2 linked regions of the Saccharomyces cerevisiae S288C genome follow. The protein of the gene in region 1 binds, or shares a complex with, the protein of each later gene. Each region holds a gene or a part of one and is shown on either strand. Other genes may lie near its edges. The genes, in order: TTI1 and TEL2.

Region 1 (5,619 bases):
TAAGGGAACTCCGAATCTAAAGTAGCTACTGCTCCTCCATTCCGTGTATATAATCTTGCTTTTTTTTAGGAAAATACTAATACTCGCATATATTGGTTATTATCATTACTTGGACACTGTCTGTTCTATCGCTTCATTTGTAATATGCGTATTGCCCTTCTTATTAATTGCTAATATTTCACCTGCAACATAGTCCCTGTTGATTAACGTGTTTATCCATTTCAATCATGAGAAATGTTTCTTCTGTTTTCCAATGCCTGGCCGAGCTGGTAATATATATATATATATGTACATAATACTTTATTAGAATATATTGTTGATGATTAGTAGACAAGTGGTACTACCAACCGAGAATAAAAGCTGGTCTTCTTAATATAATATGAGATAGGTATAAATAGCAGTCACCGATATCATTGGTTACCCAAAGTGACAATTCATGTCTTTCATAGATATAAATCGTAAGCTAAAATTGAATTAAAAGATCTTTAATTTAGCTGCCCTGCTAATTCTGAAGTCACATATCATTCCTCATTCTGGATCACTCATAACATTTATTGTCTAATTACTTATTGTAATCACTATAGTCACTGGTGTGAACAATGTGAGCAATAATAAACCACTGTATTACCATATACAAATGCATATGTTTAGCCACATAAGTTTAATTTATATTTCTTATTTTCCACACGATATCCCCCACTATCAATGACATAGATGATATTTTCTCCACTGGAACAACCTGAATACAACAATATATTATTTGTTCAAGTACCGCTTCAGAAATTAAATACTCTGTAATTTTGACCCCTTCTAGCACCATATGTACCATCGATACTAGCGCATTTTCAGTTACTGGTGGGAATTTGACATGCTTACTAATCGATTTTTTCTCATGGTTGTGCACCGTTGGATCAATCCTCAGTTCTTTCAATATAAAAGAATCCTGACACAGTTTCTGCCAAAGTTCAATGAATCTCTTGGCGACAAAATCACCAGAATATTTTATCATCTGCTCCACGCATGAACATGCGGGCTGAACGATCGAATAATCAGAGCATAGGACGCACTGTATGATGGAGTCCCATGTACTAGCAACCTCCCTTATCAACAGATTATGCTGTGTTGATAGCAAGGGAAATATAAGCCTCATAACAATAAGAATTTGCACTCTTAATCGTTTTGATGGATGGGTTAATAATCTTTCCCCATAACCCAAAATTTGCAATAGTATTTTGTATGAATCTGATGGTATAGGTGAGGTCCACTGGTCAGTATACTCTTTAGAACTTCCTTCCACCTCTTCTTCTCTTTCTTCTTCATCGTCGTCGCTATCTGGCTCTCTTAATTTGGAGTCGAAATATTCTTGAAAATTACTGGGCTCATTATCATCCTTCAAAAAATCGACGTCGTTCTCGTCTGTTATGTCATCTTTAACCTGTGTCTCTTTATCTAGTATATTGAGTACTTGCTGAAAATCGGTCATACCCCAGGGCGAAAAAGTACTTTGTGAAATGTGTTGATTAGCTATTTTCAAAATCATCTCATCATCATTGATATATTTTTTCTTCATCTCCAAAATGATGATTTTAAATAGTTGGAAAAATTGAAGACAGAGATCACTATATCCATGATAATAATCCAGTAGTTTAAATATCGTTTCAATAACATCTTTAAAATTTTCAATGGTTTCATAGCCAGCCAATTGGCAAATCACCATTAATATTTGGCTCACTCGTTCAGTCATCCCAGAATTCAATCTTGAGGAAATAGATTCTACAAGATAATCTACGTTGCTTAAGATCATGTTTGGGATAGACCCATGATATAGGGTATCTGCTATCCTCAATGCACAGGATTGGCTCACATACCTAATGGCTTCGGACGGTGATGCCAAGGCGTCAACTACTGTGTATATATAGTCAATCAATTCTGGTTGAAATTCTTCTCTCATTACCGCACAAATCGTTTCAATAGAGAATAAAACTGTACATACGGCAAACTCATCACTTTTTTTTATGCCTTTACCTTCAATCTCCATGCTAATGTCTTGAGAAAGTTCATTGCAAAATTCCAATACAATCAAACACACTTCTTCAACCATGGAAGAGGAATAGTTGGCATCAGATTCAAATTGTAGATAGACTTCTTCCTCCTTCGGTTGCTTTTCCATAGCCTTTATAAAATTGGTGCTTAACCACAGCGCAACTATCTTCTGCGTTCTTGGTGAATCAACTTGTTCTGAAATCAACTCTGTCACCACATCGTTGAGAATATGTCTTTCTAACAACAAAGAACCCATATGGTATGTAAATTTTTTCAGTTTGAGTGACATGTCTTCTGATAATCTTGGTAAAGCAATCAGAGCATTCGTACTTTCCAAGTTTTCGAAATTTACTGTAGTTGTTAATTGACTACTTTGTTCAATTATTCTCTCTTTATGATTGATCAAACTTGGTGGCTCAATAGATTCATTAAGCGATTCAAATAAACATCTAACTACCTCATTGATCATTGTATCTCTTTCGTTATTTTTCTCTAGAATAGTGATTGCAAATGATAAAGATGATAACCTATCTGCATTTTCAAACCGAATAATGTCACTTAGCTTGTGCAGGTCTTCATTGACAACTTCCTTTAATTTTACCAAATGCGATGGTAATTTGGACATCGGATCACGCTCCAAATGTACTAAAGTGGATACCAACACTTTCTCACAATTATTTAAAGAATTTTCACATCTAGTTAAAAGGATTGATACAAATGTCGCTAATGCCTCATCAATTGATTCATTATTACGTTTTAATAGTTTGGGTATAAAGGCCTCCAAAGCAATATTGATTTGCCCAGAAGTTGCCGTCAACCAACTTGTATCTCTATGCGTCTTCCCATCTGTGCGTAACAAAACAATAGGTCCATTAAACATAAATGATTGATTTATCTCGTGTTTTAACTTTGTATCGCTCAACTCTCGAATATCTGTTAACTTATTTACTTTGATATCCAAACTAAAATCATCGTAAACCAAAACCAATAATTTTGCCAGAACCTCTAGCGTGCGAACACACACCTTATAATGTATTTGACGGCCTGGTTTAGTAAGTATCTTAGCGAAAACAGAAACGTTCCCCGGAAGAATAAAGGAAAGCATTTCACCATCAGATATTATGTCCTGAAATAGTACTTCTAAGGATGCCAAAGCTTTGAATTGAAGCTCATTATTTTGGGGCGATTGCTCCAGAATTTTCAACAGAATGGTAACAGAATGTCCTAGAGCGGGAAGTAAATTAGGTTTTGAGTTCGAAAAGAACTCTTTATGGTACCTTTGCGATCTTACTGATTTGAAAAACTGATGCAAGACTAAACAACCAGCGTACTTGAACTCGTCTGATCTAGTAATTAATTTTTGATTATCTTTATCAGAACTGACTAAAAATGTGATTAAGGGGAACAGTTGTTGTCCCAATTGCTCGGAGAATTTACCATTAGATGACCAACATGTCCGTAAGAGATGAAATATAATTAGTAGGACGTATTCTGTTTGAGACTCGCCGAGAGCTGGCTGTTTCAATAAACTCGCGATAGGAACAAAAACATAATCTGCAAATTTTGGCGAAAGTGAATCGTCTTCGTATGCTGATAACTTCTCTTCAACTTTTTTTAAACATGCCAATAGCGTTAATGAATTTGGATCAAATGATTCGGTGGGTAAAAAAGCGATCCTAGAAAGTTCAACACATGAAATTCTTATGTCCTTAAATGCATTCGTGTCTGAATTCATTTGCACAAAGCTTTTGAACACCAGCTATTGCAATCTTTCCTTTCGATGTGCATGTTCACTATAATATTTTATTGTAATGAGATTGAAATAAAACGATAAAAACCCAAACATGTACTATAGTATATTATACAAAAATAACTGAGCTCACCACATAAAGTAGTGTGATAAATCAAATACAAATCATCCCTTTTTATACTTAGTGCAATATACAAATATATTGTTTACGTAAATACTGGAAATTCACAGTCCATATTTGGACATTTCCAGTTTTTCCAAAGAAGACAATAGTTCACCTTTACCGGCTAACAAAGCTTCTGTGTCCCCCAAAACAGCATGTGCTTCTGGATGGGGGACCCAAATAACGTGTGCACCAAATGCCTTGGCTGATTTTACGCCTGGAATACCATCTTCGAACACTATACACTCATCGGGCTTAATATCGGTATGAAACTTCTCATTCAATTCCTTTAAACCCAACTGCCAAATGTCCGGGAAAGGCTTACCCCTACCTTTTGCAATTCTTGGATCATCACCAGTGACAATGGTATCGAAAAGATCAAAACCTTCCTCTAAATGACTTGTTTTGCCGCGAAATTTAGTCTTGTTCGAAGACGTACATAATGCAATAGGAATGTTCTTTAACTTTAAGTATTTCAACAAATTCAATGCACCGGGAAGAAATTCGCAAGTACCCCATTTAAGAGATTGCAATGCAACATTTCTTTCGTCGTACTCATCTAAAGTTATTGGTAATTTGTAGTGTTCGATCACCCTTTTTCCTGCTTCCGGTCCCGGAAGCCCTTGCAATTTAATCTTCACATCCCAAGTTAAAGGTCCCTTACCAAATTCTGCGAGAGTTTCATTTAAAGTTTCAGTATAAATATCCTCTGTGTTGATGAGAAGACCATCCATGTCAAATAGACATGCCTTCACTGCTACAGGATGTGTCATAATTTGTTAAAAAAAAGAAATTTACTTTTGCGTTCTTATTGTCAAAGAAACAAAAGCAGTGTAATTGGAAGGCAGTGACGGTCTTAAGATTCCCCAACTTGGAGTTGGAGCGATTTAGATTCACCTCAATGGATCTTGATCGGCAATATTTTCCCAATAATTAATTCCTCGAAAAATGTGTCATACGGAAAAAGGGTAACACTAAAAACCCTTGTGAATTATCCTAAGTCTAGTTTGCCTATTGTATATTTAAGCAAAACTACTTTAGTGGTAATAAAAAGTTAATGCACTATTCATGTAAAATTTCTTATTGCAATGGTTGACAAATAGGAAATGTCACGGTATCTTGGATCTTGAATACAAATACAGTATATAGTTCTTAGGATCAAGAGATGCTATCTACAACGGAGGTAATGGTGACCTACACACAGGACATTGTAACTTATAATTCATCCAGTTTTCTAGACACGAAGTATGAAATACGTGATTACAAGGCGTTACCATGTAAGAGTGCTGATCCACCTTATGAGTTTCTGGAATTTCCTCTATGTAAATTGGAACATCAGACATACATATCGCGCAATCAACGGTATGTTCAGCAGTTCCACCACCATGCTCCGATATATACTCGTTTGAAAGGGGCTTGAAATACGAATATCCATCAGGTATTGTGTGCTTAGGCAAGAACCAGCGCGATCCCAATACATCTTGAGAATACAGTATACTAATTTGAAACAGTAGCCACAATGATAAAAATACGACGAAATGAACATCTTTATGGTGCCTGAACACATTAGAGGAGTAAGTGAAAACATACACAACGGGCAAGCTTCTAATTATTGTTGTACCAATTACAAAACTCCACAATAATGGCATTTTGTTTTGACTTC
Region 2 (4,759 bases), on another chromosome or scaffold:
ACTAGAAGAGCAAATTCATATGATTCGGATGGCGACCTCTCTACACGTTTAATGGTAGAAATATTCAGTATTAGTACGCACGATGAATGATCAAATGCATCTCGAAATACCAGAAAATGAGGTGTTAAAAACAATCTCCCGGAATACACATAAGCAGTTTTTCTCCCTTTATTGTTCACTCTATCAGAATGCCCTTTTCCATCTTTAATGGAAGTTGCAAATGAAACTTCTGCATTCGTATCTTCCAAAATGTTTTCATTAGCTGGAAGTTTATATTTTAATCTGAATTTCTCATCTCTGGTTAATGTTGGAGTGAAACTGTCTGCCAGTTTATCCAAAAAGGGTGCCTTTTGACGTAAAGAATCAAAAAATGACATATCCTATCCTTTAACTAATAATTGTATCAACTCTGAGGTTGTTCGGTGCTTTAATTGATGGATCAGTGCTTTCAAAATGTACAATTTCTTAAATGTTGTTGGGCCCTTACCAAGCAGATTTGTTCAGGCCTTTTCTTATTGAAGTTCTTTTTCCCAGTTGCAGGAGTCGGCCGACCTTCTGAAATAATATGCTGTGCATTAAATACTAACGACGCTGACAGAGAACGCACTAAATTTATTCAAATATGTATCATAAGATTGGTACAAATAACTATGCTACTAACCTTTATTGAGAGAAATTCCTTCCTCTATGGCTGAACTAATTATATGATTCATCAACTCCGTCATGGATTCAAAATCGTGGACCGGGTTAGCGCAAGAGTATATGATACGCAGTGTTGTTAAATAATGCGACTTAAAAAGCTGATTGTATGTGCCTACGTCAATTCCATTAAGCCAACCGTGTGCTAGCGGATAGAAGAATAGACCAGCATATTTTCTAAAGCGGTTTTGCGTTCCTTTTTCTCGATCCTTGCCTAGTTTTCTAGATTTCCATACTGTTTTCGTCTTCTTTATCATACTTGTTGACTCTTGAACTTCAACAAGCCTACTATTATGATGGCTTTGATCATCCCACGGTAAACGATTTGTTGGAAAATCAAACTTGGGCTTGACAATAGTAGGATCATCAAGCCCTCTCAACTCTCTTGCAGAAAGACCCAGAGCCGACAATAGTGACATCCTTTGCTGTAACGACAGTTCTGAATTGAATAGAATATTTATAGCGCCATTCACCTTCTCTGGAAGGACGACCAGTATGCTTGTTAGAGCGTTTATTCTCCACTGCTCGAAAAGCGGTTCATCAAATTCATTATTCAAGCACACAATGCTTGACAGAATACCTTGTGCATAATAGCCAACCTCTAACTGAAAATCCGCCTTTTGCCGTATCAATTTCACTGTTTGCTTCAGAAGTGGTATCAATGGAGCTTTTCGAGATTCCCCAGTTTTTTCGTATTCTTTCATTAAATCTTTTAAAAATACAATTCGTTTAACAATCTCCCGCTCATCGTTCTCATCTTCATCATCGCTATCACTGCAGTCCAATGTAAGGCTTTGAACATGACCCGAGACCTCAGTAATCTTATCCTTACCCACATCAGTTTGGGTATTGCATATGGATGGATTTTTTAAAGATTGGAAATCAATGATTTTATCATCGCTATTGCTTTCGAATTTGACATTCGGTATATTGATTTTAAAATCACTTTCGTACTTCAGATGACCGCCTGATAAAAGCTTGGCAATAAACATCGCACGCTCCCTTGCCTCACGTTCATTGCTACCTAAATGTTTGGTCACGCCATTCAAAAACCGCTCATCGTGTGCTATTTCCTCTCTCTGGGAATGATTGAGATTGTGCACTGCAAAGAGTACAAGCAATTCACATGTCTTTGTGTCTACTTCCTCATCTGTAAAATCAGCAAATTTACTTACCAAAGCGCTAACAAACTTCGTGGAAGAGTGGTTGCTCATCAGACGTACTATCACTTCCTTCAATGGCAGCGACTGTATTTCAAATAATACGGACAGACTTATGATTTTATCGAGATCAAACCGCCGCAGAATTTTCCTAACATCGTTCAAATTTTCTAAAGTCACGATAACTTGAATATATGGTAATAAAAACTTAGCAATCAGCCTCTTTTGATCTATCAGACTACTAGCAGATATGATTTTCTGAAAAGAAAAGAAATACGACTCTTTCAATAAAAATAATTCGCCTAATAACATATCTGCCGCTAGCACTGGGTTAAGCAAAAATGATGAAACTAACCATTCCCCTAAAAACCCAGGTGGATCTGTTTCATTACTCTCAAGTAGAAATTTCCACTGAAGCCGAAGGTATCCCAAATATTTCGCCATATCAATTCGGTTGGCCAACACATTAAATAACTTGCTCCCAAAGAAAAGGGCCTTAATGCTATCACGGTCTGCTTTGCTAGTAGTGCTTGCCTTTAAATAAAAAGTCAAACATCCCGGTTCAAAACTGATGATGTCTTCTAAAATTTCTTGGTATATGCGTATCTCTTGCAGTCCATCGCGGCCACTTATTGTCCTTGAGAAGGTGACAATTTGGCATAAAAATGTAAACGATTTAGAAGCTAGCCGTCTCAATATCACCTTCGATCTTTCTGGTAGTGATGGATAAACTGGAATTACGAATTTTATGAGAACCATCGAGGCATCTAGATCCACCGGTTCGCGAGGATAGGAATCTAGTTGTATTAAAGCTTCATGTATTTGACTGCTGTCAAGCCCTTGTTTCAGCGTTTCTAAAACCATTTCATGAGGAATTAAATGCGTATAAAGTAGCTCGATTCACGTTCTATTAGCGGCAACCTGTCCACAAGTACTTATTGTCTGCATTTCTTGGTGTTTGTTTTTATTTTCTTTCTTTTCAAACTTCACGGGTCTTTACAGAAAAGAGGTAAACAAACAAAAACAAGAACATGGATACAAAGCCCATCCACGTAACATTGCGCATTTGAAGCGAGAAGCTTACCACAATTAGTTAAATTCCTTTTGGAGGAATATAGACACTCTATCATCAGAAACATCCGAATTATTTTAGTTAGGACACGTTTCACAGGAGCATCTGGCTATAGCATATTTTTCTTTTCCTTCTAACTGCGAGCATAGTAAAAAGTTGACCTAAACCCAACATTTTTGAGGCTAACCTAGTAATAATTTAACCTAGGCACGAAGTGCTTATAAATTAAGGAATGATGGTAAAACAGGAGGAACCGCTGAATGAGATTAGTCCGAATACTCCGATGACTAGCAAGTCCTACCTTTTAAACGACACGCTTTCGAAAGTACATCATAGTGGCCAAACTAGACCACTGACCTCGGTGTTGTCTGGAGACGCCTCATCCAATTCTATTGGCATACTAGCAATGCATAATAACATAATACGTGACTTTACAAAAATTGCAAGCAATAACATAGACTTAGCCATTGAGGATATTACCACTGTTGACCATTCATTAAATTCAATATATAGCCTATTGAAGAGCCATCACATGTGGGGCCATATAAACTCCACTGTTAAACAACATTTGATGATAATTGTTAAACTAATAAATAATAACGCATTAGGATTGGCCTCCTCTGAAATTATTTTTCTTTTCAATGAAACGAATTTATTTCAAGCTCATAGTCTGAAAAACATTCTTCTAGCAGACTTCAGTACGTGGAACGACTACTATCTTTCAAATCTGAAAATATTAGCGCTGCAGATTATACTGAAAAGAAAGCTAGTAGACGAATACTTACCGCATATATTAGAACTATTTTCCCATGATAAAAGATATCTTTTGAAAGACCCTAACCTCAAAGCTCACGCTCTCACAAAAATCGTGCTGAGCTTTTTTTCTGTCACGACGAGTTGCAAAGTTCTATTCGGGCTAAAATTTCTACAATATATCAAACAGTTCAAATTACCTTTTAAAAAGTTCATTAGCAACATTACCGTCGAGTGTTTTAGCAAAAACCTTCTTCATAAAAATTATTTGGAGATGGGACCTAATAAAATATATTTAAATTCATTTTACTTATCCTATTCCATGCTGTACGATGGATTGGATAAAATAATGCTTCTAGACATTTTAAGTTACGAAGAAACTACTGAGGTACAAAGAGCGATAAAAAGTAAAAAAGAATTCAATGAATACTGCAACATGAGTGAAAACCGTCTTCTCTGGTCCTGTATATCTGTCGATGATTTGAACGTAATACTCGAAAATGCAACGAATTTTCTACAAAATAAAGGGAAACATATATCCGCAACATTAAAATGTTTAGTCTGTCTTTGGTCTACTATTCGCCTAGAGGGATTACCTAAAAATAAGGATATATTGAGGCAGTTTGATTGTACTGTTATTTATATCAACTCAAATATTAAATCCATTAATGACGAATCTGCGGCGGCATTATTATCCGAACTTCTGGGAGTTTTATCAGAAATTTGTATCGATTATAAAGAGCCTAAACGACTGTCAAATATTATCAGTGTCCTTTTCAATGCTTCTGTTTTATTTAAGAGTCATTCGTTTTTGTTAAAGACTGCTAATTTGGAAATCTCAAATGTTTTAATCAGTAATGATTCAAAAACATCTCATCGTACTATACTGAAATTTGAAAAATTTATATCTAGTGCTCAGAGTGCCCAGAAAAAAATTGAAATCTTTTCCTGTTTGTTCAATGTATATTGCATGCTACGAAATGATACGCTATCATTTGTTTTTGACTTTTGCCAAAATGCATTCATTCATTGCTTTACACGCCTAAAAATCACAAAATTCATCGAGTTTTCAAAC

What was found.
Region 2: TTI1 (region 1) and TEL2 share a complex: the UniProt entries of both Saccharomyces cerevisiae proteins name them as parts of the TTT complex.

Annotation. Positions count from the first base shown.
Region 1 is NC_001143.9:373,615-379,233, reverse strand, and holds TTI1 (Tti1p), read right to left. Parts: upstream 3,779-5,619; coding exon 662-3,778; downstream 1-661. Other genes in the region: YKL033W-A (haloacid dehalogenase superfamily protein), read right to left, coding at 4,019-4,729; ubiquitin-protein ligase TUL1, read right to left, coding at 5,129-5,619. UniProt on the Saccharomyces cerevisiae protein: Component of the ASTRA complex involved in chromatin remodeling.
Region 2 is NC_001139.9:685,863-690,621, reverse strand, and holds TEL2 (Tel2p), read right to left. Parts: upstream 2,724-4,759; coding exon 657-2,723; downstream 1-656. Other genes in the region: GTPase-activating protein MDR1, read right to left, coding at 1-377; ESP1 (separase), read left to right, coding at 3,164-4,759. UniProt on the Saccharomyces cerevisiae protein: Part of the TTT complex that is required to stabilize protein levels of the phosphatidylinositol 3-kinase-related protein kinase (PIKK) family proteins. Required for telomere length regulation and telomere position effect.